Linked DNA regions of Pelodiscus sinensis. The protein of the gene in region 1 interacts with the protein of each later gene in a pairwise test. Links are inferred from orthologs where the notes say so. Each region holds a gene or a part of one and is shown in the gene's direction. Other genes may lie near its edges. The genes, in order: TRAF3IP1, SNAP91, EXOC1 and DMD.

Evidence for each region.
Region 2: the proteins of TRAF3IP1 (region 1) and SNAP91 interact in a two-hybrid assay, tested with the Homo sapiens proteins (2 studies listed by BioGRID and IntAct). The link is inferred for Pelodiscus sinensis from reciprocal best matches to the Homo sapiens genes TRAF3IP1 and SNAP91.
Region 3: the proteins of TRAF3IP1 (region 1) and EXOC1 interact in a two-hybrid assay, tested with the Homo sapiens proteins (2 studies listed by BioGRID and IntAct). The link is inferred for Pelodiscus sinensis from reciprocal best matches to the Homo sapiens genes TRAF3IP1 and EXOC1.
Region 4: the proteins of TRAF3IP1 (region 1) and DMD interact in a two-hybrid assay, tested with the Homo sapiens proteins (2 studies listed by BioGRID and IntAct). The link is inferred for Pelodiscus sinensis from reciprocal best matches to the Homo sapiens genes TRAF3IP1 and DMD.

The regions. Positions count from the first base shown.
Region 1 is NC_134717.1:64,455,924-64,463,547, reverse strand, and holds the start of TRAF3IP1 (TRAF3-interacting protein 1), read left to right. Parts: upstream 1-4,619; 5' UTR 4,620-4,710; coding exon 4,711-4,833; intron 4,834-7,050; coding exon 7,051-7,119; intron 7,120-7,624.
Region 2 is NC_134713.1:60,610,137-60,617,594, reverse strand, and holds the start of SNAP91 (clathrin coat assembly protein AP180), read left to right. Parts: upstream 1-4,449; 5' UTR 4,450-4,600; intron 4,601-5,482; 5' UTR 5,483-5,512; coding exon 5,513-5,642; intron 5,643-7,458. UniProt on the Homo sapiens protein: Adaptins are components of the adapter complexes which link clathrin to receptors in coated vesicles. Clathrin-associated protein complexes are believed to interact with the cytoplasmic tails of membrane proteins, leading to their selection and concentration.
Region 3 is NC_134715.1:84,576,012-84,583,208, reverse strand, and holds the start of EXOC1 (exocyst complex component 1), read left to right. Parts: upstream 1-4,179; 5' UTR 4,180-4,395; intron 4,396-7,197.
Region 4 is NC_134711.1:198,904,290-198,911,278, forward strand, and holds the start of DMD (dystrophin), read left to right. Parts: upstream 1-3,979; 5' UTR 3,980-4,360; coding exon 4,361-4,442; intron 4,443-6,989. UniProt on the Homo sapiens protein: Anchors the extracellular matrix to the cytoskeleton via F-actin. Ligand for dystroglycan.

The DNA.
Region 1 (7,624 bases):
CTAAAAACCAAGTCTTAACTGAGTTGCATATTTTTCGTGTTCAGCCAGGTGGTAAAGTTAAATTCCTTATGCTTAACAATCTTGTCTGCATTTTAGCTGTGACACTCTGAGTACATTTCCCAGAACTGGCAAAGAGTTCTGTGTAAGCTCGAAAGGTTGCCTCCTCCACCAACAGAATAAAAGATGTTCAATATCCAATAGAAGATATTCCTTTCCGCACCTTGCCTCTCAATGAGGAGAGAACAGATTCAGAGAAAGACAATAGCTGGAGGCTTGTTGTAACATGTTCCTTCACTAGATATAATAGGAACCGCTTCTCCTGATTGTACAAGCAGATTTGTTTCATCTACACTCAATAGTTTACAAAGTCCATTTAATTTGAGTCAAGAGAATAAAACAAACAAGATTTTCTATTGACATTCAATGGTGTATACTTTTGACAACACAAAGGCTGGTTATCACAGTTTTGGTTTTATTCAGAGCTACCAAACGCTGATAAGGCAGCCAGAGTTGTATGAGGGGTCAGACTAGCCTCGTCTAGTCAATAGATTGAGCAGACAAATGTTAAAAGAGAAACAATAAGTTTTTAAATGCTTGCTACAGAAATGGAACATAAATGACCAAAAGGAACAGGAAGATGTTCAATATCTAATAGAAAACTGGAAAACTGAAAGGATGATCTAAACAGGTACTTTCATATCTGGAAAACAACCCAAAATGGCAACTTACACACTTTCTTGGTTTCTACCTAGAGCAAAAACAGTGGCAATAGTTTTTTTATCTTGGGGGGGGGGGGGGGAGGGGAGGAAAAATCAGCTTTGCTTGAAAGATTTATAGATCATAAGCTTTCATGGGCAAAGATCCACTTCGTCAGATGCATGTAGTAGAAATTCCAGAGGTGGGTATAAATAGGCACATGAAAAGAAGGGAGTACCAATCAAGAGGAAGGCCAGAGAGGTCAATTTAGTCAAGGAGGATGAGGCTCACTTCTAGCAGCTGATAAGGAGGAGAAACTGCTTTTGTAGTTGGCTAGACATTCAGTTTTTGTTCAATCCTAAATTGATAGTGTCAAATTTGCAAATGAATTGTAGTACTGCAGAAGTACAATTCATTTAGGGTCTGACCTCTCAGCGTCTGAAAGTTTGATAAAACAAATCTTCAGGCAGGAGCTGCCAAACAAATATGTTGAGTGTGTGCAGAGCCATAGTCTATGTTGTTTAAAATAATGGACTAAAAACCAAGTTCCATGCGGAATAGCAATCATAGAACCATAGGACTGGAAGGGACCTCGAGAGGTCATCGAGTCCAGCCCCCCGCCCTCAAGGCAGGACCAAGCTCCGTCTACACCCTCCCTGACAGATGTCTATCTAACCTGTTCTTAAATATCTCCAGAGAGGGAGATTCCACAACCTCCCTTGGCAATTTATTCCAATATTTGACCACCCTGACAGTTAGGAATTTTTTCCTAATGTCCAATCTAAACCTCCCTTGCTGCACTTTTAGCCCATTACTCCTTGTCCTGTCCTCAGAAACCAAGAGGAACACATTTTCTCCTTCCTCCTTGTGACACCCTTTTAGATATTTGAAAACCGTTATGTCCCCCCTTAATCTTCTTTTTTCCAAACTAAACAAGCCCAGTTCATGAAGCCTGGCTTCATAGGTCATGTTCTCTAGACCTTTAATCATTCTTGTCGCTCTTCCCTGTACCCTTTCCAATTTCTCCACATCTTTCTTGAAATGTGGCGCCCAGAACTGGACACAGTACTCCAGCTGAGGCCTAACTAATGCAGAGTAGAGCGGCAGAATGACTTCACGAGTTTTGCTTACAACACACCTGTTGATACAACCTAGAATCATATTTGCTTTTTTTGCAACAGCATCACACTGTTGACTCGTATTCAACTTGTGGTCCACTATGACCCCTAGATCCTTTTCCGCCGTGCTCCTTCCTAGACAGTCATTTCCCATCTTGAATGTATGGAACTGATTGTTCCTTCCTAAGTGGAGCACTTTGCATTTCTCTTTATTAAACTTCATCCTGTTTACCTCTGACCATTTCTCTAACTTGCTAAGGTCATTTTGAATTATGTCCCTATCCTCCAAAGAAGTTGCAACCCCACCCAGTTTGGTATCATCTGCAAACTTAATAAGCGTACTCTCTATCCCAATATCTACATCATTGATGAAGATATTGAACAGTACGGGTCCCAAAACAGACCCTTGAGGAACTCCACTTGTTATCCCTTTCCAGGAGGATTTAGTACCGTTAACAACAACTCTCTGACTACGGTTATCCAGCCAATTATGCACCCACCTTATCGTGGATCTATCTAAGTTATATTTGCCTAGTTTATCAATAAGAATATCGTGGACATCCATGTCTTCTGGGCAGTTTGACCCTTAAGGAGTAATAGTTATTTTTAAAATATTGAATATCAGCAGTTCACAAGAATGTTCCAAGAAAGTCTGTTCCCTAGCACATGCCAATTCTCTTCTAGTGCTACATTTTCTTGGAGCACTTGGCTTGGTTATGTCTCTCAATTTTGACTTGATTTTACTGTTCCTAGACATATCTATTTAGCTGTATTAAAATGCATTTGTCTGCTTAACAATCCAGATAACACTGTAGCAGTGACCTGTCCTTTTCATTATTGACCACTGCACCAATTCCACATTTTTTGCTTCCAGAAAATATCTCCTCTCTCCTTTGGAATGTTCCTGGAAACTGAATGGAAATACTTTGCTCAGCTGTGTACTCCACGGATAAGAAGTCTCTAGTCTTCATATTTCTCCCCTTTTCACAGATCCCACTGCTGACACCATGTCACAACTTCCTACCATAATGTGGTGAGATTGAATGGAGCTCCCACTCAGTGCAAGTTCTAGCCAGGGCACCTAAAATAGAGACCAAACCTCCTCTGTGTCATTAATGCAGGACACTTCCTTCAATTCCAAGTGCTTCTCTGTGGGCCCAGAGGGATGTCCATAGTCTGTGGGCTGTTTAGCCTTTGACTCTAGCTAAACCAATCCACCCTTTCTCAGCATACCAACTCGCCATCCAAATAAACAGTGAAGTTCACATTTAACAACCCCTGAGGACTCTCCCTCCCAGTCTCTCAGGCATCATAGATACTTCATGGAGAGCTAGTGGCAGAAGTCCAAATGAACCAGACCATTCCAAAATAAACACAGTTCCTCCCCAGCTTCTTCTTCCCACTCCTCTGGATTCCTAACAAGACTTCTTACAAAGTCCTTGGCTGTAGGAAAGTGTCAACACCTCCTCTTCCCAGGCTCCTCAGTTCCCCTGAGGCAGAGTTAGTCTGGGAATCTCGTCAATTTCAGATTGTCTCAAAGGGAGAGGAAAGAGGCAAACTACTTCCTTTGAGCTCTTTGTGCTGAAGTACCTTCTATCAGGTGTCCAGAGGCAAACTTGCCTGAACTAATGTGAATTTGTGCCTCTCTCCCCCACCCCCTAATTTGTTTCTGAAGCAGTTTGAGAGTCCTGATCAGTTAGTCTCACTCGGCCTCTCAGCTGTCCCCCAGCACTTGGACTTGAGTTTGTCTGAGGAAATACTAATGTTTGGGGAAAGGAAAGTTGGGAGGGATACCAGTCAACCTGTAACAATTCCTGCTTTAGTGCTGGGAGCTTGGGCTGATAAAGGTGTATAGGTATATGGGCTCAGCGAGTGCTCCACAGACTTTTGAAGAGTCTACATCTGCCTGCACTAGAAGCAGCTGGGGTTTGTGTCTCCTTGTCATCTCTGGGGTGCCTGAGCAGTGAGTCAGGGCTTGGGGTCAGGGTCTGGGAAGACAGATAGCTGAGACCCAGACTTGCCCACCATGGGAAAGCTCAAGGTTTTGCCCTTCTGTCACGTGGGACTCATGCTGACCACAGAGCTTCCAGTTTGGCATGAAATCATTAGCTTAGTGGGAAGTGCAGAGAGCCCGCAAGAGACCTGCTGGAATGGGAGCCAGGCCAGCTCGGGCCTCTGGGGAGAGAGAACTTGGGGTGGCCCTTGGGCAGGGACAGACTCAGCCCACAGGCACCATAGGTACAGCCAGGTGAGGTGTATACCCCTGTGGGGAGATGAAGGGTGGCAGGGAGCTGCTGGGCCCAAGTGTGCCCCACAGGCATCCCTATTGCCCCATACGCAGCCCTGTGCCCCAATTGCCCCACAGGCATCCCTATTGCTCCACGGGCAGCCCTGTGCCCCAATTGCCCCACAGGCAGCCCTATTGCCCCATAGGCAGCCCTGTGCCCCAATTGCCCCACAGGCATCCCTATTGCCCCATAGGCAGCCCTGTGCCCCAATTGCCCCACGGGCAGCCCTATTGCCCCACGGGCAGCCCTGTGCCCCAATTGCCCCACGGGCAGCCCTGTGCCCCAATTGCCCCACAGGCATCCCTATTGCCCCATAGGCAGCCCTGTGCCCCAATTGCCCCGTGGACGCCCCTGTGCTCCAAGAGCATCCCTATTTGCCCCCGCCCCGCGCGCCAGCTCTGCCGCCCGGACGCCCGGCCAGGGAGCGCGGCAGCGCCATTGGCTCCTGCGCGGCGGGGCGGGGCCGGGGGCGGGGCCGAAGCAGGCGCCTTCGGCCCGTTGCTAGGGCCGCGGTGGGCAGCGAGCGGCCGGGGCGCTGCGCCTGCGCACGGCGGGGGCGAGGTGCATGCCGGGAGGGCGCAGCCGGAGCCGGCCCGGCCGGTGCCGCCATGGACGGGGCCGTGGTGCGGCGCACTCAGGAGTCGCTGGGGCGCGTGATCCGCAAACCGCCGCTCACCGAGCGCCTGCTCAGCAAGCCGCCCTTCCGCTACCTGCACGACGTCATCGGCGAGGTGGGGGCGCCGCGCGGCCGGTTGCTAGGCGGGGCCCGGGGGTGGGGGGCTGAGGGGCGGGGCTCGAAGGGTTCTGGGGGGCTCTGGTAGGGCGGGGCTCCCTAGGGGGCGCTGGGGGGCTCTTGAGGGCGGGGCTCCCCAGGGGTGCTGTGGGCTCTGTGGGGCAGACCTCAGGGGGTGCTGGGGGGCTCTGGTAGGGCGGGGCTCCCCAGGGGTGCTGTGGGCTCTGTGGGGCAGACCTCAGGGGGTGCTGGGGGGCTCTGGTAGGGCGGGGCTCCCCAGGGGTGCTGGGGGTTCTGTGGGGCAGACCTCAGGGGGGTGCTGGGGGGCTCTGGTAGGGCGGGGCTCCTCAGGGGGGTGCTGGGGGGCTCTGGTAGGGCGGGGCTCCCCAGGGGTGCTGGGGGTTCTGGGGGGCGGGGCTCAGGGAGTGCTGTGGGCTCTGGGGGGCAGAGCTTAGGGGGTGCTGGGGGATTCTGGTAGGGCGGGGTTCTCTGGGGGCACTGTGGGCGGGGCTCGGGGTGCTGGGGGACTCTGGAGGGCAGAGCTCCCCAGGGGGTTGGACGCAGGACCCCACTGGCCTGGGACCTTGGTGAGCCCCCCCCCCCCCCCCCCGTGGTGCCCTCCCATCTGCCTGGAGGAGGGCGTGCAGCAGTAGGGGGAGGGGTAGCTATTTACCTACCTACCAGCAGCTAGGGATGTGAATGGGTAACTGGTTACCTGGTGAGCATCACCCTTATGCTTCTGCTGCCACTTCCCCTTCCCTCAGGGGTGCAGGAGCAGAAGCTGGCTCCCCTGAGCACAGAGGGGACAGAACCCTGAGTTGGAGGGTGGGCACATGCAGGAGCAGGAGCCCATTTGTTTGGTTAAACCAGAGGTGTAACTAATTAACAGATTACCTGGGATTTTACATCCTGACCAGCAACCCTTCTATTGCTTTGGTTTCTCTCTCACTCTTTTGCCTTTTCCAATGTGTGAAATGGAGGCAAGAATTTTTGCTCCTCTTAAATAAAAAACAACACCCACCCCCATCTCCCAAACCTTACAGCTGCAGGTGAAAGATATTACCAAAGTAGAAAACATTTGTGGTCGTTAGTACTACAGTAGGTGCTTGTTTACAGCAACACCTTATAAAAGCAACCACTGCTTATGAACATTTCTCGTGGGAATGCTTTCCCCACCCACCATGACCTGGCAGCAAGCCCTAGAATTGCAATAGGTGTTTAGAAGCTAAGTAGCAAAAGGCGCCCCTGTGTGGCTACTAATGAACATCTACTATAGAATAAAAGGTGAGCACTCCTACACTCTGAAAGATATTCACAAAGCTTATCCTTTTTTGCCTTCTTTTAGTCAAAGGAAGGTCAAAATGGATTATTCATTAGAAGATGTTAAATTCCCTGAACTCAAGTATGTGCATGTCTATTAAGAAATCAGCCACCACGTGTTAGGCAGTAACAGAATACATCGGGACTGTCGTTAAAGTATATGGCCTTTGGGTGTATTAACTGTAATTTTCTGCGTAAAACAAAAAGGCTTCATCTACACTGCAGGCTATTCTTGCACAAAAACTTGCAGAGCGTCTATGCTGCACGCGCGTTCTTGCGCAAGTAAATTTACAGTACAGCGTTGGAAAACACGGCTTCTTCCAGAAGAGTTATTCCTCTTCCCATGAGGAATAAGCCCTCTTGCGCAAGAGCTCTTCCACAAGAAGGCAGTGTAGACAGGCAATAGCGGTTTCTTGTGCAAGAAAGCCCTATGGCTAAAATGGCCATCAGAGCTTTCTTGCACAAGAGAGCATCCACACTGCCATGGACACTCTTGCGCAAAAGCACATCTCTTCCACAAAAGCACATGGCAGTATGGACACACTCTTGTAGAAGACCTTTTGCACAAGAACTCTTGTGTAAAACAGTTCTTGCACAAGAAGTCTGCAGTGTAGACGTAGCCTTTAAAGTGAATCTTCTGTACTGCAGAGATATAATGATTCAAAGGAAGGAGACTTTAAAAAAAAAAAAGAGCAAGCTTCAAATGACTTATTGAAACCCATGACAGAAGAGATCATTGCAATAGAAAGGATCTTTAAAACTGCACCACCAAAATAGTTCAGCATGAAATAGCATCCCTCCAAGTGATTGCAGAAAGTTTGTAAAAGATGGGGTTTTTTGGAAGCTTTCTAGTTTTTTTTTTTATTATTATTAATTTACTGTGTTTGCTTTGAAGGTAATTAGAGTGACTGGTTTTATGAACGGGCTTTACACAGACTTTGAGATGAAATCTGATAATGTGAAGGTGGGTTTGAAATTTCCTTATTTAATGTTGGAATTCTTTATAACTGGTCACTAGCTATTGCCACTTTGTTTCACTGAATTCTATTTACTATGATAAACCTACACTCATCTGAAGCTAATGCCCAGGAATATGCTTAAATGCTGCCTTTTTAAAAGTGTGGTGGTGGTGGTGTGTTGTGGTTGTGCATAGGCAAATAACTCTAACTTTTTGTGTATTGTTTACTTACATAAAAAACGTTGAGATTTTTACAGAATCTGTTGGTGTTGTTTGATATCTTGAGAACTGTTTATTAAACACCTTTTGTGCATATTCTTACCAAGTTAGGTGCTTGTACATGGAGCGGTAAAGTGAATGAGTTTTCATGTCTGGGTGTCTGAGTAATGAAGTGGAGCTCTGGGCCCTTTGGAAAGATTGTCATGTGCAGGAGCTCTGTAATGGACTGTCAATGTCATGAGCTGCATAAAAAGCTCCAACACTTGTGTTAGTAGTTAACAGGTATTTTATT
Region 2 (7,458 bases), on another chromosome or scaffold:
CTAATATTTATTTGAGGTTTTTTTTAAAGTTCCAGGAACCATTGTCATAGTTAGAGGGCTAGCTGCATCTCTATGTACTTACGTAGGCCTGATGTACATTAGACCAGGAAGGTCAGTTTAAGGTACGCAACTCCAGCTATGAAAAATGTGTAACTGGAGTTGGCTTACCTTAAGCCAAACCTTGGCGGCATCCACACTGCAGGAGGCCAATGGGAGCAAACAGTCCCATCAACTTCCCTTACTCCTCGCAAAAGGAGAAGTACCAGATGCTGATGGGGGCTGACCTCAGCATTCGATTTGTAGGTCTATACTAGACCTGCTAAATTCAATACCTGAAGATTGACCTCCGGAGCATTGATCTTCTGGTAAGTATAGACATGCCCATAGTGTACCCCTAAAGTCTCAGATCTTTACTTATCCTGGGACAGAATTCAGTTCTCCCACTTGCAGATCAGGATCTGGATTACAGGCTATGTATCAACCATATTCGTGCAACAGGTCTGCCTGAGACTGTGACCAGTGGAGTACAGTGATCAAAAAGCCTTCTTGAAACAAGAGTATTGTTTATTTTAACAGTAGGAACAAAGTATTTAGAGAGAAATTTTTTTATTACAAAAACAGTTTATGTCTGCCTATACCTTAATGTTTATTATTTCCAGAGGGTAGGCAGGCCTTAACTTTTTCAGACCTAGTACCTCCTAGCTCTCCACATGCCTGTGTCTCAGTTTGGTTCCCCAAAACAAGTGTCTCCTTTTTTTAATGTTCTTTTTTAAACCTGCCTACTTTTTGAATTTGAAAAGGCAATGGTATCCTAGGTTTCATGATAAATGACTAATTGATCTCACAGATCAATGAGGGCAAAGTTTCTCTCTACAGGTGTGCCTACACAGCACAGTTATTTCGAAATAACAATGCAAGCATCTACACAGAATTCTGTTATTTTGAAATAATTTCAAAATAACAGATGGCTTATTTCAAAATCTGTAAACCTCTTTACATGAGGGAGATTGGAGTCAGTGGAGACTTTGGGGCAGGGAAAGAAGGAATTAGTTGTATTGAGGATTCAATGAGAAGGAATGGAAAGGATTGGAGAGGCGTGTATGATTGGAGGGCTAGGGGAACTAAGAGCAAAGAAGACCAAGGGCAGAGTCAGAGAGCTGCAGGCAGCATAAAGAGTTGGATAAGGTGTTGCTGGGGGAGAGGTGGAGGCTAGGTATACTATGAATGACAGGATTATAATTAGCTTGACAATTTTTCTACATAAAGCCCAGTTGTGTTAAGTGCTGAAGTAGTTGGTGATGTAACTGAATGCTATACTGACAGAAACTGACAATGCCAAGATTGACCATCTTCACAAAGTAGCCAGAAGTTCACACTACAGTTCACACAGGCTACTTAATGTCATATTTTAATAGAAAACTGTATCACTATTCAAATATGTCATTCCTTTAAAGATAAAACCTGTTTTCCTTAGCTGCTTCAAGTCTCATTAAGGTGAAATTAGTAAGGATTTAGAATGGCCTTAAAATAGCCCTTTAACACCCAGCATGGTGGTTTTTTATCATTATTAAAATACTAATATCCTAGTTAAAAATACCTATCCTATCTTCTGAAATTCAGGACATTCTAAACCCTTGTTAGTTTTACTGGGCAGAAGTTCAGAGCCACCCTTATTGCCAGCGATAAAACTTTATGATGAAATAGCTGTGAAAATTAAATGCCAATTCTGTGTCTTCTATTGAAATCAGATGGTACTAGAAAATAAAGAAACCTTGAATTATAGAAAAATATTTGTGTGCATTTCTGCTATTATTGCCTGAATGGCATCTCCAAAGACCCCCTCTTTTATAATAAACTGCTGTAAAAGTTAATGTTCCACTTTAAAATGAAAGGTACATTTAAAACATTCCTCAAAATATTAATGTCTATATTTCATACAAATAAACAGTTAAAGGCACGTATTTAAATTATAGACTTGTGCAGAATGGATCTTCATTCATGGTGCTGCAGTTGAGCACAGTTAAATATACTGTGGTAAATATATATTCTCATAAAAATATATTATAAGCAAACACACAGAGCAATCTAATTTCTTATCTTGGACTTTCTACTATGAGAAGATTCAAAGCTGCTCATCACCTGAATCTTTCAATCTCCAGTTTTGAAAATATCTAGATCCCTCCATATCTACTGAATATGCCAAATTTGTATTGTAATTTACACAATCAAGAGTCTGAAATAATATGTATGGGTGTGTGTGAATATTTCAATCTGTGTTAATTCTGCACCTTTGAAAATATTGTACCGTTAAATCCATGTGTTGTCTACATTAGTTGTAAAAGAATCTAAAAAGAAATGATCACACTTAAATTCTTAAAATTCTGCCATCATTCTCAGGTAGATATGAATATGCAATTTGAACAGTTTTGAATATCGTAATTTGCTACAGATTTCTTGAAATGCAGTAACCTACATTTTTGAGCCTCACTATAATATATTAATATTTCACAGGAGTCAGGGCAGGGGGCTGGAAGTGTGGGGAGGCTCAGGGCAGGAGACTGAGGAGTATGGGGGTGGGGTCCAGGAGTCAGGGCAGGGGATGTAGAGAGGTTGGGGGTGTAGGGGTGCAGGAGACAGGGCAAAGGAGGGATCAGGGCAGGGGGCTGGGGTGTACATGTGTAGGAAGAAATGTTGGGGGGGGCTGTGGCTGGGTAACATTACCTGCTGTGGGTAACATCACCTGCTGGTGGGTGGGTCCTGGGTGGGTCCTGCCCAGCTGCTACTATTTGCTGCCAAAGGAGCTGTGAGCCAGCTGTGTGCCAAAGACATCCTGTCCATAGGATAGTTCGGGGCAGCTGCCTCAAGCCCTGAGCTTTGGGAGTTCCAATGGCAGCTGCTTCAGTCATCCTATGGATGGGTCTCAGGGCTGCCTGGGGGATTACCAGGGGCCTGGCGCAGGGCAGCAGGAAGGCTGTTCCCACGCTCCCCAAACTCACCACAGCACTGGGGAGCTGGGCAACTCAACAGGCTGCTCCACCCCACCACCTTCTTCCAGCCCATTGTGCTTGGCTTCACCTCGGCAGTGGGAACAAGAGCACAAAAGGCTCAGTGAGAGTAGCAGAGCAGAATGGAGTCAGCTGCTGGGTTACTCCAGCTCCCACCACAACAGTGGGGGTGGTGGGGAACCCCTACTTAAGTCACTGGGGGAAGGAGGCTTTAATAAGGCGACAGAGCAAAGGCAGGAAGTGGTGGGGTGGAGAGGCTTAGGGGAAAATGTAGGGGAGGAGCAGGGCGTGGGACCTGTGGGGGCAGGGTTGTTATGGGGTTGCCACCCCCTTCACCTGGCTTCTTTCCAAAGGCCGCCCACAGCAGTGCATGCCGGGCACTGCACATGTACTGCCCAGCATCCAGCGAGAGAGGGGCAGCAAGAGCCTGGCTGGGAATGCACTTGCCTCCCCTACAGCATGCTCCTGTCAGCCTCTTTCACATTTGCCTACCTCACCTGGCTGCTTGTGGTGTGTGGGGCCACCTGCAGCAGGGGAGCCCTGAGTGCCTGCCTGGGAGAGCACTCCACAAGTTTTGCAGCATGCCTCTACCTGCATCAGCATTTCCAGAGTAGCTCACAAGGTCACACCACCTCAGCTTCATCTTTGCTGTCACAGAACAGAAGAACCAGTAATAGGGAGCAGATTTAAAACAAACAGAACATACTTTATCACACAACACACTGTCAACTTATGGAACTCATTGCCAGCGGATGTTGGAAGGCCAAGAGAATAACTGGGTTAAAAAAAGAAGCAGATAAGCTAATGGAAGACAGGTCCATCCATGGCTATTAGATATGATGGTCAGGGATGCATCTCCACGAAACCCCTTTGACTTCCATAAACTGGACCTGGAGAATAAGGAGTGAATCATTCAGCATTACCCTGTTCTATTCACTCTCTCTCAGACGCACCTGGCACTGGCCACTATGGGAAAACAGAATACTGGCTAGATGGACATTAGTCTGACTCAGAATGGCCATTTATATGGTAACTGTAGTTCAGCTTCAAGAGGCTTAAATTAGCCACCCAAATATCTGCAGTTTAAAAGTGTCTGTGTGTCTGTGTGTACATACACCTGCCCATCCTCAAAGGAGCCTGGATATCAAACATAATTCAACAGTTTAAAATATTTTAAAATACTAAATGTTTTGCAAACGGTCAAAGAAATATTCTAATATGAACATAATCCCACCCCCGTTTAAAGGGAGAGAGACCCAGCCAGAAGATGAAAGAGGCAAACCAGGCAAGGAGGGAGCAGAGGCAAATGAGAGAAGATGGTGCAAGAAACAATGGGGGGTGGGGGGATTGAGAACCACGCGCAGCGCAGGGGAAGCGAAGCCCCGAGAGTGGCTGGAGGGGCTGGCTCACCTTGGGGCTGGGTGCGGGAGCCGGCTGGGTGTCCCCTTTAAGAGCGCGGCGTGGGGGGCTCTCCCTACGGCACCTAGCGGTCCGCACGTCCCGGTTTGTCCGCGCCGGGTCACCTGACTTGGCTGAGCCACAAACCTGAGGAGGGGCCGGGAGGAGCAGGAGGGCGAGGGCGGCGCGCCGGGCTGGTACATCCATTGCTGCGCGGCGGAATTGGGCTAGGAATAGCGGCGGGCGGGGCCGCCCTCACCTGGGGCCGGGAGCCTGGCCCGGCCTGCGGGCACCGGCGGAGGAGGGGCTCGGCTCGGCGCCGCGGCGGGCGGGGGCGCTTTCCCCGGGAGCGGAGGGAAGGACGCGCTGACAGGTCGGCTGCTGCCTCCCAGCCCTGCACGCGCCGCTGCCTGCGGCCGGGTCAGCTCGCTGCAGCCGCGGCATCCCCGCGGGGCCTGGGGTGCCCTGAGCTGCTGGGGGGCTGCTCCGGCCGGCGGCCTGCCCTTGCTCCCGGAGCGGCCGAGAGGCGCGGGCTGGGGGTGGGAGCGGCGCAGGGAGGGCACAACATGGCGCAATGATGCGATAATCCCCCAGCAGAGAGGCGCGGGGAGGCAGGCGCTGGGAGCTCCCGTTTGCTGCAGTAGCAGCGAGGAGCGGCCCCGCCCGGGGGGCTCAGTCATTCCCGGGGGGCTCGCGGGGCTGCCAGGAGCGCGGCGCGGGGGGGGGGGGGGAGGGCTCGTCTTCTTCCATCTCCCCTTCGCCTAGCTCAGTGGGAGAGGAAGGTGAGTTCCGCTCGGCAGCGGCTGCTGCCCCGGTCGCGTTGCGCGAGGGACGCAGGTTGGTGGCGGGGCGGGGACGGATGCGTTGTGTGTGCGCTGCCTTTTCTTCTGCAGTGCCTGGAATACCCAGTCTTGCCCCGGGAGCTGCTCCGGGCTCTTCTGGCAACGCACGCAGCGGGGCGGGGGAGGAAGGATTGTCTCTGCTGGAAAGGGCCCCGGGGGCTGGAAGAGCAGCGTCTCTCCTCGCTTTGTCATTAAACCCGGACTGTCTCCTTCTCCCCTGTGTTTCCCCGCTTGCAGAAGAGGCAGCCGCACTAACGTTAGTCGAAGATGTCGGGTCAGACGCTGACAGATCGCATCGCAGCTGCTCAGTACAGCGTTACAGGATCAGCTGTAGCCAGAGCCGTCTGCAAAGCAACCACACATGAAGTGATGGGGCCCAAGAAAAAACACCTGGACTGTAAGCATCTCTTTATATAAGCATTACATCCTCAGGGCTAAGAAGGCAGCCTAGTGCCTTAAATGTTCTGACAATAGTATTTGATATTATCAACCCTTCAAATCAGAAGGCTTATGAGAGTAGCTGGTATGAGGGGGAGGGGAGGAATGGATTTTATTCTTGCATATCTTCTGTAGTCCCATAATATTGTTCCCTCAGCCATTTTCTCTCATTTTGACCTCTAGCCTTAGTCCAGAAAGGCAATTCTGAAAGGCGATGAGGGTTATTGTACCCACCTATGACTTGAGTCATGATTAGGTTGCTTTTTGACATGGATACTGAACCTGGAGCTAGAGTATTGATATATGTATGTGGTTATAATACAAAGATGGACTCAAATTTTATTATGTTGAGTCAAGGGGTTTTTTTTTTTTTTTTTTTAATAAGACTATTGTGTCAAGGGACCCAGTTGTTTGAGGAAAGCAACTATCTCATCTGCCTATCTGATGTACCTCCCACAGTGTTTTGGGAAGAAGACTGCTGGTTTGCTACTGTACAAACTAGAGATTTAAAATCTGTTTTGGACATAGAGAGTATTTAACTTGAAACAAGAGCAAGTGCACAAGTTCATGGCATCCCTGAAAAATAATGGCATATCTGTAATGTTTTGCGTGTGTGTGTGTCGGGGGGAGGGTGTTTTGGTAACTTAACATGGGTTCTTTCTGATTCACTGTTATTTCACTTTTGACTTTGAGAAAGAGGTGGGCAGAATTTAATCATACAGCGTAGAGCTAATTTTTACTGTAGCTTGGTTTGGACAGAAAAGTGTATTTGTACCGCAATGTCTTGATAGTCTTGTAAGGTATTTGAAAAATGAGGGGTTTTTTGTTTTGTTTTGTTTCATTTTTTGTTACAGATTAGCAAGATGTTTTTCACTGTTTAGTATCTGGAAATATTAGCTCAATAACTGTCTCTTTAAAGCAGTGTTTTATACTAATACTAGTCAATTTGTGTTCAAATATTTGTATTAAAATTATATTATACATTTGCTATTCAAAAGGACAAATAACTTCTGACAGTATTTCACATTCTAGTGTTTACTTCAGATACTCCTTGTACCTATAATCATTATGTAAACCCTGTACTTGAAAGTGGTACTTGCTGCAGATAGTCATTTGCCAGGTACACTTGAACACATGAGGATAGATTCGTAATGTGTGCTAGGTGTTAGAGTGCTGCTTAAGTTTTGTTGCCTCAAAGTAGTTGTTTGTTTAAAAAATCATAATTGGCAATGATTCTTGCATATTGAATTTAGACAATCATTAGTACATGTTGCAACTGGTTAGTCTAGGTACATAAGTGCAGGTCAACAAGCTCAGTTAACAATATATAAGGCAGTGTACTTTATCACAATCAGTAGAACCAGGAGTGACCCATAGCTAGGCCATGTGATTGTGGCTCACATAGTATATTCTAATTCAACAGAATCTGAGACTGAATATGTTCTATGTTTCTTGCCTTCATGATTAAAAGGTTAGCATCACACATGTGAAACAGGTGTAAACTGAATCAGCGCTATTTGAGTCTTCAGGCTTCAAACAAAGCTTCTGGGAGTTGTGAACTCTCTCCTGTTCCGTTGGACTCCATTAATAGCCGTAGGATACCAAATGTAAATGCTACTTATGTTTAAATATCAGTATTAACTATTTAACTACTGATCTCTTGAGTGGATGGGATGAGGAAAAGACTCAAGTCCACAGCTGAAATGGGAGGGAAGGATTAGACATGGAAAGAAAATGCAGTAGGCCGAGGTTCAGAAAGTGACAATCAAGTAGAA
Region 3 (7,197 bases), on another chromosome or scaffold:
TTATAAATGGAAAAATCGTGACAGATCATCTAGCCCATTTCTCTACAAATGCAGAATTGTTCCCTAGAGCACCTTTTCTGGTGTTTTAAACAGTGTGGTTTAAAATGTGACAGCTGAGGCTTCCGCTAATTCCTGATGACGGTATTCCAAAATATAATAAGCAGAGAGACAGCAGTGACAGACACTTAGGCTATGTCTACATTGGCAAGATTTTGTGCAAAAGCGCTTGCTTTTGCACAAAATTTTGCCGCCTGTCTACACTGGCCGCGAGTATTTGCGCAAGAACACTGATGTTCTACTGTATGAAATCAGTGCTCCTTGCGCAAATACTCTGACGCTCCCGCTCAGGGATAAGTCCTCTTGCGCAAGTATTCTTGCGCAAGAGGCCAGTGTAGACAGGTAACATCAATTTCTTGCGCAAGAAAGTCCGATGGCTAAAATGGTCATCGGAGCTTTCTTGTGCAAGAGAGTGTCTACACTGACACGGATGCTTTTGCGCAAAAGCAAATCTTTTGCGCAAAGGCACATGCTAGTTGTGGGGGTTTCGGGGTGCGATCACCCCTTCTTGGTCCGAGAGGGGGGGTCAGCGAACCCTAGTGCCCCCTCTTAGTGCCTATTCGGCCCCCGGGGCCCCAATGGGGAACCCCCGACAATGGGTGCAATCACCCCCTCCCAGGAGGAAGGGGGGGTCAGCGAACCCGTCAATAGTTACCCGTCTCTGCGGGGTGGGGCAGCAGACCCCTGGTTCAGAGTTTCCCCTTGCGGGGTTGTGACTTGTAGCGTCTCTCTGTTCAGGCCGTGGGTAGTGGGATGTTCCCTTCGTGGAGGGAGGGGGACCCGGTCCCACCCTCTCTCCGGGTCCCAGCCCGGGGCCCTAAGCTTGACTGTGCACTCTGTGAAGGAGTTCCACAGGTTGACTGTGCGATCTGTGAAGAAGAACTTCCTTTTATTTGTTTTAAACCTGCTGGTCATTAATTTCATTTGGTGGCCCCTAGTTCTTATATTATGGGAACAAGTAAATAATTTTTCCTTGTTCACTTTCCTTATTCACCACTCATGATTTTATAGACCTCCCTTAGTCTCCTCTTTTCTAAGATGAAAAGTCCTAGTCTCTTTAATCTCTCCTCATATGGGACCCATTCTAAACCCCTAATCATTTTAGTTGCCCTTCCAGTCATGGGTACTGAAGCTGTTTTAAAGGATAGATTACAAACCATAGTTTATAGTTCTGCACTTTCACATTTCAGGACTAAATCGAGAATTGCCTCTCCCCTTGTGGGTTCCTATACTAACTGCTCCAAGAAGTAGTCATTTAAAGTATTGAGAAATTTTGTCTCTTCAGCTATTCGATAGTTCAGGTTACAACTGTATTTCCATGATAAGCCAATTCCATTGCCATTCTCTCCTCTAAAACCCACAAAGGCTTAGTAGGCTAAAATCTGTAAGACATAGATTGCGATAGAATATTTCTACCTTATTTGAAGTGAATTGGACAATGGAAGAGTTCAGGTTGCCCTGACCAGTCTTATTTTAGGTCCTTGTTCCTATTGCAGATGAGATCCAATTTATGTCATGCTACCTCCACTCCTGGGATAGCCCAGAGCTCTCCCCTCCACTATTCTTTGTCCTGTCATCTGGATACTCCACCTCCATGTATTTCCACAAAATAAATTAAAGACTTCCTCATTTCTTCTTCCAACATAAACTGAAGGCTGTTTTATGTTATCAAAGAACACACTGTCACAAGGGGCAGAGTTAAAATTAGTATAGCAAAATGTAAGGGTCCCTCAGTCCACTTATGGAATGAGAGCATGAGAGGAGAGGTGAAAGTGTTATGCATGCCTTAAAAGAGACTCTCATAATGTGTGTGTTAAAAGATGTAACCCAGTGTATTAATTAATTCTTAACATTGTTCTTTTGGTTTTGTGGCAATAGAAATAAGACAGAAAAACTGGGAATTTTAAAAAGTGATTATATAAGTAATATGCTGCTAAAGCTGCATACAAATTCTATACAATCTTTTACAGGCACTTTGTCCAGTCTGCTATAGATCCTACGAGAGACAGTTATATTTTGTGGTTAGAGTGAGAAATTATCAGATTGTAAATTTTCTTTTAACCTTGCCCCTCATGAATGATACATTACAGAAGAAGTACACAGTATATTGTTTTATGAGTTACAAATGTAATATATATCCACCTAGAAGCACGTCCCTTGGTACTTCAATATTGACTGCCAGTAACCTGCAAGAATCTCAGTCGTATCTCATTTCTTCATGTGTGAGAGACTTGCAGAGCTGTGAGAATATGATTTTATGTCTACTGGGGGTAGGTCAAGAAGTAATGGGCTAATCTGTGGCAAGGGAAACTCAGGTTAGATATTAGGGAGAATTTTCTAACCCTCAGGAGATTTAAGCTCTGGACTAGGTTTCCATGGAAGATTGTGGCACCCCCTGTCACTGGAAAATTTTAAGAACATGCTGGACAAATACCTGTCAGGGATGTTGAAAATGTATATGGTCCTACATCAGCACAGAGGAATTAATGACCTTTCAGGGTCTCTTTCAGCCCTATATTTCTATGATAATTTATGCAACTGCTGCTAAATGTGAATGAGGTTTATTGACCACGAAGAGAAGCTCACTCACAGTATAGACCAAATTGCAATCTCCTCTTTCAAGGTTGATGGGAGTTATATGCCAATGTCAGGCAGAATTTAAACACAATCTCTCACTGTATCATTGTGTGTTGTGATCCTATCAGATCTAATTAGCTGTGCATGCCTGAGCTGAGTCTTTCTTTGAAAGGTCAAAATCCAAACTGTAGATGTTGCAGATGTTAGTGCTTCTGTGTCCTATTTTCCTCTGAATTAGTACTGGTGCTAGAGTACATGGAGCTGCTGGAGATGCCTTTTGCTTAAGTGTAAAACCAAAGTCCTGAACCTTTCTGGTTACTAAAATTTCATTGATACTTTTTGCAAAAGAAGGGGTATTTATTCTGAAGTAATGAATAAATTCCAAATCAGGTAATTCCTTGCAGTTTTAATAGGCTATGGATTTCTTCATTTCTTATCCAAAACTCTTGGGTGGTTTTGCAAAGTACTATTAAATAACTTCCGCTTTCAATTCCAGATATATCTGCTTTTCCATTATGTGTAAGGTGAGCCATTTGGCCTTTACTTATCTGAAATTGGGGTTATGGGACTTAATGTAAAGTGAATTTACTACTCAAACAATGTGTTATGTTGTGTCGCAAATACTCCCACTCCAGTATTCATGGATATTGTCATTTGCAAGGATCTCAAGAACATATCGCCCCATGAATAGCGAGGACTTCTTGTGATCACAATTGTATTCTGTATTGTAATTTAAATCAATATGTATTAAAATGTAGAAAAATGCCAAAAATTTAATACATTTCAATTGGTATTCTATAGTTTAACAGTGTGATTAACTAAAAAATAAATTCTGCTTGGTCACAATTCTAATCAAGAGTTAACTGCAACTGACAGCTGTAGTAATTAATGTTACTTCCAAAACAAAAATATCCCCAATTTTTTAAAAAAATTATAAAATCTTTTAGCTGTCTCCATCACAAAGCCATACACAAACATCATATACCTCAATATGCAATCAACGTTTGCTTTTGTTGCATCCTACTTAGAACCATCATTTGGTGTTTTGTCTACCTGGTTGCAAACTCATTGGGACCAGGCACTTTATCTCCATATTTTCAGGTAAAGCTCTGCATAAGGAATGAGACTAATAGTATTTTACATGCCATTTGGACTGAATTAACCCCGTCAGTGAGAAGTAGAGGGCAATTCTCTCTGGAGTTAGGCTGCATCCCCAGATCACCTGCCAAAGGGATTCTAGTCAGCAGAAAGATAAATGTTAAAACATACATTTTAAAATGTAATTCTGCTCTCAGGTGCTTTGGGGGCCCGACTCTGATGACCCTGCTGCCCCACTTTGCTCCACTCTCCCCATGCACACCACAGGAGTTAATGAGCCTTCCGCCTCCCACAGTCCCAGATCAGCTGCCCCCCATCTCCTCCACAGGTGAGCCCTCTCCCTCATGCCTGAGCTCCTATTGGCTCGTTCCACCGTTTCCCCGCCCAGTTCCTCGCAGAGCGCGGCGGTGGCCGGGCTGTTGTCCCTCCTGCCGGCAGGGGTCGCCCTCTTGAGACGCGGCAGCCCTGAGGCCCCTCCCAGTGGGCTGCGGTGTTTCCGGACCCTGTCACGTGACAGGAAGAGGTCGACGCCGCGGTTCTGCGTTGCGGCAGCCGCGGCCGGATCTCTGCGAACGGTGGCGTTAGATGGGTCGGAGGCGGAGCCGCTGCGGCCTAAGGAGGAGCCACCACCCCAGCCCCTGCGCCCGCCTGCGCGGCCCCGCGGTAAGGGAGGGGGGCGTCGGCTCCGGTAGCCCCGCTGTGCACAGAGAGCTGCGAGCATCCCTCGCGCGGAGCCCAGCGGCCCCGCCTGCGCCTGGCTCCCGGCTCTGCAGGGGCAGCCCCGCGCGCTGTGGCCTGACCCCCCCCCCCCCGGCCCCTCTCTCCCTCCTCGCCATCGGCGGCGGCCACGGGCATCACGCCGACCGGGCCCCGCGGCGTCACACGTGTCTCCCGGCACCGAGCGGGGGCCAAGGGGCGCGGTCCCGTCGGGCCAGGCTGGGAGCGCCCCGCGGGAAACGCGTCAGCAAATGGGGTAAAACCCGCAGCGCCCGCGACGTGGGTTCAATGTCTCTCTCGAATAGACCGGAGTGTGTGTTGCCCGGGATCTCGGAGGCGTTTAGGTGCAGTCTCGGGAGGGGGGACTGGGTCTGTGCTGGGACAGGGGCCAGTCCTGCTGCCTGCTCCGTGCCGGATACAGGACATTCACCCTGGGAGTTCAGCATATGTAGCTGTCGTGGCGAGGCATACGTTGAAAGCTTGGAACGGGCTGTTCATTATAATCTGTATAATCTCTTCTGCATATATTGCAGATAATACTGACACCAGAGACAAATAGGACTAGCATATGTATGATGTAGGGGACCTAAGCACAACTAACAGTCAGTGCTAACTCTTAAGTTGCTCTAGTTATGTTATTTAGGGGTAACACTGGAGACCTGTAGTTAAGTTGATCTAAACTTAACTAGTATGGAGGCCACTAGTTAAATTACATAATTTACTTAACTTAAATTGTAACTTAGATTGATTTACAGCAGGTGGGAGCCAATACACTCAGGGAGCCAGCTTTTAAGTTGGCCCCCTGTGCATGCTGTACAGAGCTGCCTCCCACCCACCTGCACTCATGGCTCCCACAGAAGCAGCAGCATGGGTTAGGGCAGCCAGGAGCTGGTTCTCATGGGGAGTCTGCTTAAAAGTGGGCTCTCTGCAGGCACTGGCTCCCGCCTCCTTTCCCCACATGTAAAAGTGTACCTGCTAAAATGTTCTGCTAGTACACAATTATACAAATAACACATTTTAACATCCCTAATGTACACATTGTTCTGGTAGCTTTGGTAGCGTCTAAGGAAAATGTTTTGCTGGGTTTAATCTGTGTTGTGATATCAGTACAGCCTATGGCAGTGTTTCCTCAATGGTGTTCTGTGGAACCTCGGGGTTCAAAGTGAAAATAAGGGTTCTGCAAGAAAATATTGTCATTTTTGTTTTTAAATATTTGCAATTAAACTAAATGGTGATCTCATGACCTTGTTTAGCATTTGTTTATTATTATCCTTACTTATTTGTGGTCTCCTTTTTCAGTTCCATATATAAGACTCTTATTAGGGGTTCTGCAAAATTCTTTCAAGTTTAAAAGGGTTCTGTGGCCAAATAAAATTGGGAAACATTGGTCTACGGCATCTCACTAGACACTTATGTAATCTCATGTACATCTTGAAATAGAGAAGGAGACAGCTTCTAAGAATATTTAGGTAAGATGATTATGGAAGAGAAGCAGGTACTGATTGCTACAGTGTGTGCAATTAGAGAGAAATGAATGGTATTGCAGATTATTCGTATTACTCTTTTATTACTTTATCTGCCTTTGAGCCAGGGTCATGGGTGAAGACTGCATTGTGCTAGGTGCTACACAAACACAGTACTGAAAGATAATTCTTGGCCAAAGGAGCTTGTACTCTAAAGACAAGACATGAGACAACATATGGATTCAAACAGATGGAGTACAAGGAGACAGAGACAATATTGGTCGTAAACAGTGGTCACAGCATATGAGCCCCCCTATCATCAAGGGTGATGGTTTGCTTTTTTTGAGGGGTGGGAGCATCACAGCGAGAGAAAGTATTAAGGAGGGATATGAAGGAAGATAAGTGGATAGCTTTTTGAATGTTTATGGTGAGCTCTTCTCAAGTACAAGTGAGAGTATGAGAGAGAGCACAAAAGTGCTTATTTGAAAACTAACAAGTGAATTATGAAGGCTGACCTCATGGGCCAATTGGAGGTGATGATCAGTAGCCAATGAAAGACAAGCAAGGTGCGGATTGTCTATGAAAGTACTTGAAAGTGAAAATGAGCAGTTTAATGTTTGATATCCTAAAGGAGGGGGAGCTAGTGGAGGGATGCAAAGAGGGATAACATTGTTGAAGTTGCAATGCTGCATTGTCTCATTTAGCTGTGTTAGGTTCATAGTACTTACAGTGAACTGCAGCAAAAATTGCAGAGGCTATAAGATCAAATGGCAAATGTGTAGGGGCATATTACAGTCACTATTTAGTAGTAGTTAGGAATCTTCAACCCCACCTTTCAAAAGTGGCACTCTTTGTTACTTTCAAGACAAAGAAGATAAAACAGTTACTCACCTTTTATAAGGTAAGGGGAGGGATAGCTCAGTGGTTTGAGCATTGGCCTGCTAAACCCAGCATTGTGAGTTCAGCCCTTGAGGGGGCCATTTAGGGATCTGGGGCAAATCTGTCAGGGATAGTACTTGGTCCTGCTGTGAGGGCAGGGGACTGGATTCAATGACCTTTCAAGATCCCTTCCAGCTCTATGAGATGGTATATCACTACAGTTCTATGAGATCTCTTCATCCAGATGGATCTAATGAGTCTCCTCCATCCCCATTTTTTCAGCATCCCCTTTACTTGAGATTCTGAATTAGTATAGGAACTGAGGGTTGATTGAGGCAGCCCTTCCTTTATGCCCTTGGGTAGGTGGGAGCACAAAGACATGCATAGCCACAGACAAGGCCCAATG
Region 4 (6,989 bases), on another chromosome or scaffold:
GATTTTAGCCTGAAAACTGTACAGTACTAAATTACTCTATAGTCAAAAAAATTCCATTGTAGAAAATTTTAGAAAAAAATGTTGAAATTTACTATGAAAACTTAAAATATTTTGGTCAAAAGTTGAAATTTTTATTTGGAAATCTTACTACAGTGTCTTGAGCACCCTTTCTCCTCTGTTGGTTGGTCTCTGCAGTCAGATAGCATCCTTTGGGAGGTAATCAGTAATATGCATGGAATCTTTTTGTCTCCAGTTTGTTCTTTTGAGTTCTTCTGCAGGTGTAACTGAGTATAATTTTATTGGTAGGACTTTTTCTTTGTGATGGTGGATTAAAAGGAGAAAACACAGCTTGTCTTTTTATATAGTGGGTTATATTTGTAAAGTTGGGAGTTGGACAAAACAATTTCTAAGTTGATAGAGAACAAAACTTAACAGGCATTTTTTGAGATAAAGTATCACCCCCATCCTTCCCAGAGATAATTTTAGTGAGTGTTTAAAGTGATACTAGGTTTTGAATTCCATGTGATTACTCTAAGGCGTGTCTAAGCTTTTCCATCTATATACACACATATTTCCAACTTGTTGAGAGCTGTAGACTCATGAGAAAATAGTACATATATTTACATTGAAGCAAATGAATATTTAAATGGACAGTAGTTCTGAGTTTATAGGAAGAGGGAGAACCAGGGTATGTATTCTACACAGCATTGTGGAAGTACAAGGCACTCTTAGCTGGCTTTTAAGGAAGAATATATTCCTGACAGTTTTGTGGTAAGAAATATTTGCATTGCTCAATCTGGGGTGTGAGAGAGAAATCCTGGTTATATAAGGTCTCATCCTGAGAGGTATTAAAACCTCTCAGGATTATGCCCTTAGTGAGCACCTGCCAAGTTGTCTGGGAATAGGGAAAGTCAATTTATGTGACTCAGTGGAAGCTCTCTGCTTGTGGATTTGGAAAGCCACAGTTCTGGATATTTTAAGTCACAGTATTTGTCTACAGAGTGCATTAGTGAGCTTCAGCGAGGGTGCAAATTCAAGTATGCACTAGACTGTTGTGCAGTAACTGTCCCTGTGGACATTTGTGCATGCTACAAGTTCCCTAGTGTACATTAATGTCATATTTTTTTAAGACAGGACTACATCAATGTGCACGAGGGAACTTTTAGTAAGAGCCAGAAGAGTCCACACGGAGAAGTTAGTATGCAAACTGTTGCTGCACTCTGCAAATTACACCTCAGCGGGTGCATGTAAATGCACTATGCAGGCAAGCAGGGTCCAGAAGCCTCCAAAAGCCCTTTCTGGGTTGATTCTTGTCATGAAATGTTTGTGTTTTTGAAGAAAATAAAATCACCATCCTAGGGATTCTGGAACGTGTGTTTTGTTTTGTTTTGTTTTGTTTCCTTGACTTGGTTCCAACTGGCTTTACTGTAAACTCTCCTACAACAGTAAGTGTTGCTCTTGGTTAGGTCTCCAAAGGACTTTAAGTGTTGTATTACAGGCAGTCCCCGCGTTACGTACAAGATAGGGACTGTAGGTTTGTTCTTAAGTTGAATCTGTATGTAAGTCGGAACTGGCGTCCAGATTCAGCCGCTGCTGAAACTGACCGCCAGTTCTGACTTACATACAGACTCAACTTAAGAACCCCAAGCGTCCCCAAGTCAGCTGCTGCTGAAACTGATCATCGGCTGATTCCAGGAAGCCTGGGGCAGAGCAACTCTGCCTCGGGCTTCCTGTAGTCAGCGCTGGTCAGTTTCAGCAGCGGCTGACTTGGGGACGCCTGGGGCAGAGCAGCTGGGGTGCTGCTGGGTTGCTCCAGTAGCACCGCTCCTCGGCGCTACTGGACCAACCCAGCAGCACTCCATCTGCTCTGCCCCAGGCGTCCTGATTCAGCCGATGCTGAAACTGACCAGCAGCGGCTGAATCAGGACCTGGGGCAGAGCAGCTGGGGTGCTGCCGGGTTGGTCCAGTAGTGCCCAGAGCAGCGCTGCAGGACCAATCGGCAGCACCCCAGCTGCTCTGCCCCAGGGTCCACAACAAAAGCCTGGTCTGCGGGGGAGGGGGGGGCGGCACACTAGCTGCGCCCCTCTCCCCCAGCAGACCAGGGACACGGGGAGCAGAGTGGCAGCGGGGTGCCGTGCCTCTGAGGCTTTGCTCTGGCGAAGTCTCAGGCGCGGGATCCCGCTGCGGCTGCGGCTTCAGTCCCGGTGCCCCTGGTCTGCTGGGGACCGTCTCCAGCAGACCAGGGGCACCGGGAGCAGCTTACGAACGGGGCTTTCTCGCCCCGGAGCTCGCAGGTAGCAATCCGCCACCTCGACCTCCGGGGCGAGAAAGCCCCGTTCGTAAGTGCGGATCCGACGTAAGTCGGATCTGCGTAAGTCGGGGACTGCCTGTACTTTACCTTTAAACACCTGCCCACCCAGCACAATCCACAAACCTTGAGTTAGTTGCCTATACTCCCTAGGAACTGCATGGGGAGAAAGAGGGGCTCTAGAAAGAGAGCTACAGATGCCAGCATATTGCAAGGGTCATTGCTTAAGAGAGCCAGTGGAGAATATTGAGGAGGGGGAGCAGTTTATGCCACACTCCTCTCCTGGAAGTAGGCACCTAAGCCCAGGCTGGAGAGAGAAGCCTGTCTTTCTTAGGGACCCACATCTAGGAACTGTGTCTTGGAGTGATGTGCCTAAGCTGTGTATTTTGGTGGTGGTGAGGAGGTAGCAGTTCCCCCAGTGATTAGAGCATTCACCTTGGATGGTGGGAGAAGGGTCAATTTGCCTCTCTACCTCTTGTAGAGAAGTGAGGTTGACTTGAGTCTCTCCCCTCCACTGGTCTATAGCACTCTCTCAGGCTACATCTACACTACAAGGTTTTTGCATTAAAACGGCCATTTTTGTGCAAAAACCCATGGAGCATCCACACCTCAAGTGCATTTTTGTGCAAGAAAATCTACAGTCAATTGGCAGAAGAGAGGGCTTTTTGTGGTGTAGGTATACCTCCTTCTATGAGTCATAACTCCTTTTTGGGCTACAGCTCTTGAGCAAAAAGGCATGTGTGGACACTCTGCAGGGGTTTCTTGTGCAGAAAGCCTATCCGAAAAAGCACAGGTGCTCTGATGGCCATTTGTAGAATGGCCATCAGCGCTTTCTTGTGCAATAGCATCCATGTAGTGTGGACGCGCTCTTGCGGAAAAGCGCATTGCAAAAGCAACATGCTTTGAGATGTGGACACGCTTTTGTGCAAGATGTTTTTGCGCAAGAACTCTTCTGCAAAAAACTTCTTGTGCAAAAGTTTTTTGCAGAAGAGTTCTTGCGCAAAAACCCTGCAGTGTAGACATAGCCCTACTCTCTGGATTTCTTTAACTGGTGTTGCTGAGTGGAACTGCTCCCCTGGGAGAGACTGAGAGCTTGTTTTCCCCCACAAGCAAGAGAATAGCCTTCTACCCAGGGGTTAGGTCAGTCACCTCCCAGGTGAGGAACCCAACTTCAAGTCCCTTCTGCACATCAGGTGGACATGAACCTGGGTTTGATATACTCCAGGGCTGTGGCCTAACCATTGGACTACAGATTGTAAGGGGGCTGCTCTCTCGCCTACTGCTGCATTTTTTTTTTTACCGGACCCAAATAAATCAGAGTACTGACTCATAATAGAGTGGGACTCCTAACCAAGTTTGCCTGTGACGGTCCGATGGAGGAGGGAGAGGCCAGCTTTGCATAATTAAGGGAGTGTAATACTGTGCTTTGCATGATTAAGGGAGTGTAATACTTGCCACTCCCTTGACTGGCCATGGCCTCAGGTACAGAGCCAGGCTGTTTGCCCGAGGAGTTTGTTCTGAGGGAGCTAAGGCGGGTCACTGTGGGGTGGGGGTGGGGTGCGTGTTTTTCTAAATCCCTCCCTGCATTAAAGCGCCCGCTTTTAAGTGGGGGCTGCTAAATCATTCATGCTCCTGTTTGCTTCTTTTAGCAATTTGCTCTCTAATTGCTGCTGTTTGCATTGATCGCGCGCGGGGCGGAAAGGGAGTCTCTGGAGTCTCCCAAGTTAGCTGCTGATTTATCGAGTATCAAACCTCCTCCTCTTTCACCTTGCTGGAGCCGCCGGCTCTATTTTAAGGCAGACGCGCGGGGCTCAGCACCTGTTCTCGCCTGTCCGGGGAGCAGAGTTTGACAGCTCCCAGCCAGCGCCTGGGTTGCCCGTTTCCCTTTCCTTTGCTCCTCGCTGGGGCTGGGGAGGGGGAGCCAGGCTGAGCTTATGCCCCCGCCCCCAGAACCACAAAAACCTCCTTTTGGTCAACTTTGAGTTGCAAGGCGCCTCTGGGTGCGGAGCCGGAGCCGAGCGAGAGCCCGTGTGGCGGCGGGGCGTGTTGGCCATGGCTGAAGGGGGCCGCCCGGAGAACCCCCGCGAGGAGCCTGCAGCGGACGAGTTCAGTGATATCATCAGGAGCAGATCTGGTAGGAACCGCGTGTGTGTGCACCGAGGGGGCGCCTGGGTGGGTTACATGCAAAGCCACCGACCGTGGGCCAGTGGGTCGCCTCCTCTTGTGTCCCACCGAGGAAGGAACGAATTCCTCCGCAGCTGGGGATGTGTCGGGGGAAAGTTTCTCCGTTATCCAGCTGCAAGAAGAAGATCTGACCCGAAACCCAATAAAACGAGATTGCTACATAAAGTCGTACCCTGGGGGAATGCGAAGTTCACATGCGAGGCGGGGAAGAAAAGATCACCGTTATCCCATGTATGAAAATAGTTGGATCGTCTGTAAACGAAATGAGCGCTTATTTAATTGGGCCAGACACTCATTTCCCTGTCAAGAACTCAATGCTAATGCAAGCTGAGCAGTTTGTACTTTTGGAAAGAAACCATGCTGACAAGATAGGAAATTGATGGGCAGGCATGCAAAGACCGAGGTAGCTGGTTGTATTCACTTATTGCAACATTAATGCAGTTAGCAGAGAGCGGACCAATGCATTTTTAATGCTGTATAAATAATTTTCAACACTCGAGGAGGGTTAATGAACTGTAGAGGGACGTTCCAGCAAAGTTTAGAAAACCAGGAATAAGTGTTTGGAGTGATGTTCTTAGTATGAGCTTTTCCTTATAAACTAGAACTCTTGAGCTCAGGCACTCATACAAAATTGTGGTGCCATGTGGGCAAGGGGGCAGGCCATTAAAGCTGTAAATGGAAGCAGCTGTAATGCTGGTTCCCCATATGCTAAAGTTTCAGGTGTCTGGACTCCCTCTGTTTAGACTTGGAGAGAAACCAAATCTTGGGTAGTAAAGTTATTTATAGACCATTCAGAATTTACACATTTACAATGTAAATAGACACAGAAATATAGGAGTATTTAATTATTTCAGCTTTAAAAAAAAAAGTCCACTAGTCTGCCAGAGTAAAAAGGAGAGAGGATAACAATCCCTCAGAGAGTGAGAAGTTTTTTCCAGTTCAATTTGTAAGACAGCTACCTCAGTAAAAATTCTGCTTCCAGATGATTTTTGGGAAGCCTCTGGCCTATTGGTAACTAACTTAGCTGACAAAGTTCTGGGTTGGCAAAATGTAGAATAAACTCCTTCTTTCCCTCTAGACTACTGATGCATGGTTCTCATTATCCCAGAATAGAGAGAGACTTGCAATATTATCAGTGCAATTCTTCTTTGAAATTGTACTAACACAAAGTATTTCCTTGGAATCTATGCTCCTTAAGGTGTGTCTCTTAGTATTGCATTCACTGTACAGTGGTTTTCTTAAACTCACAGATGAAAGGGTCTACTTTGTACTTGGACTTTACTGTGCAACATTTCGGAAAGTAGGATCATGGAGTAGAGGCAGTGTACTTAGTGCTGCAGAGATCCTTCCACGCCCAATTTTTTCAAAACTACTTACAGCTCTGAAAACAAAGTTTCTTTGTTGAGAAATTGCATCATTGTGCAATGGAAAAGCTGGAAAGAAAAGTTAGAGTGAGTTCCTTCCACACTGATTTCTGATCCAGATAATGGCACTGCAACCCACAGCTCAACAGTGAATCAACCCAAATCTGAACTTAGGCCACTTATATTTTGGTAGATGTAGACTAGAACCACTACACTGCACACACACAACTCTTAACCTCTTTTTAAAAGAATCCGCTATTAGCATGTTTTTCTGTATTAGAGTGGATATTAATTGGAAACTAAAAGCTTGAAGAATTACATAAAATATTTTTTCTGAATGTGGGAGGATGTGATTCTCCAGAGATTGCTTCAGGAAAGTTATAGTGGTTTACTCAGGGACATAACTTATTGCTTAGTAAATGACTCGATTGATTTTGTATTTTAAAGCATTGCTTAGTTGTGAGAAACTGCTTTTGCTTTTTAAATTGTTTTCTTTATATAGTTAATTATAATGTGAGTAACACAAAATGACAAGATGTATTCATATGTACACTTCCTTGTTGTCTCTTCCCTCTCAATTTTCCTTGAAAGCCTGTCTCCAGACCAATTTAAGTGACATAGAAACGTTGAGCACATTGTACTATAATCAGAGCAAAAACAACTCAATGTTTTAAAATAGATTTTTCTACTTTGCTCCATTTCTGTTGTACTCAAATAATTTGGGTGTTTACATTAGCCATGGAATTTAGAAAGCTGGTTTTTATATTATAACTTGCAGTGTATCGTCTCTAATAATTGTACCATTATTTGAGGGTTTAGACTGTTGACCACACAGTTTTAAATTCTAATCAGGAGGAATCTGAATTTGTTTTTTCATGGGGCTTATTACAGATGGGATTTTCAAAGGGATCTAATGGGCACTGGAAGTGAACTCCATTTACTTGCAAGGAAGCCGAGCATGTTACTCTCATAAGAAAACTAAAACCCCTCCAATACTGGACACTTAAAATCATGTTTGGAGGCTGGTGCTGTTTTTTTGGGCCAAAACTAATTGGGTGGTGGTTGCTGCTTCTTTTGCAAGAAAACAGATTCCGAAACACTGCCTGAATTTGAGACAAATTCACAGACTTGCG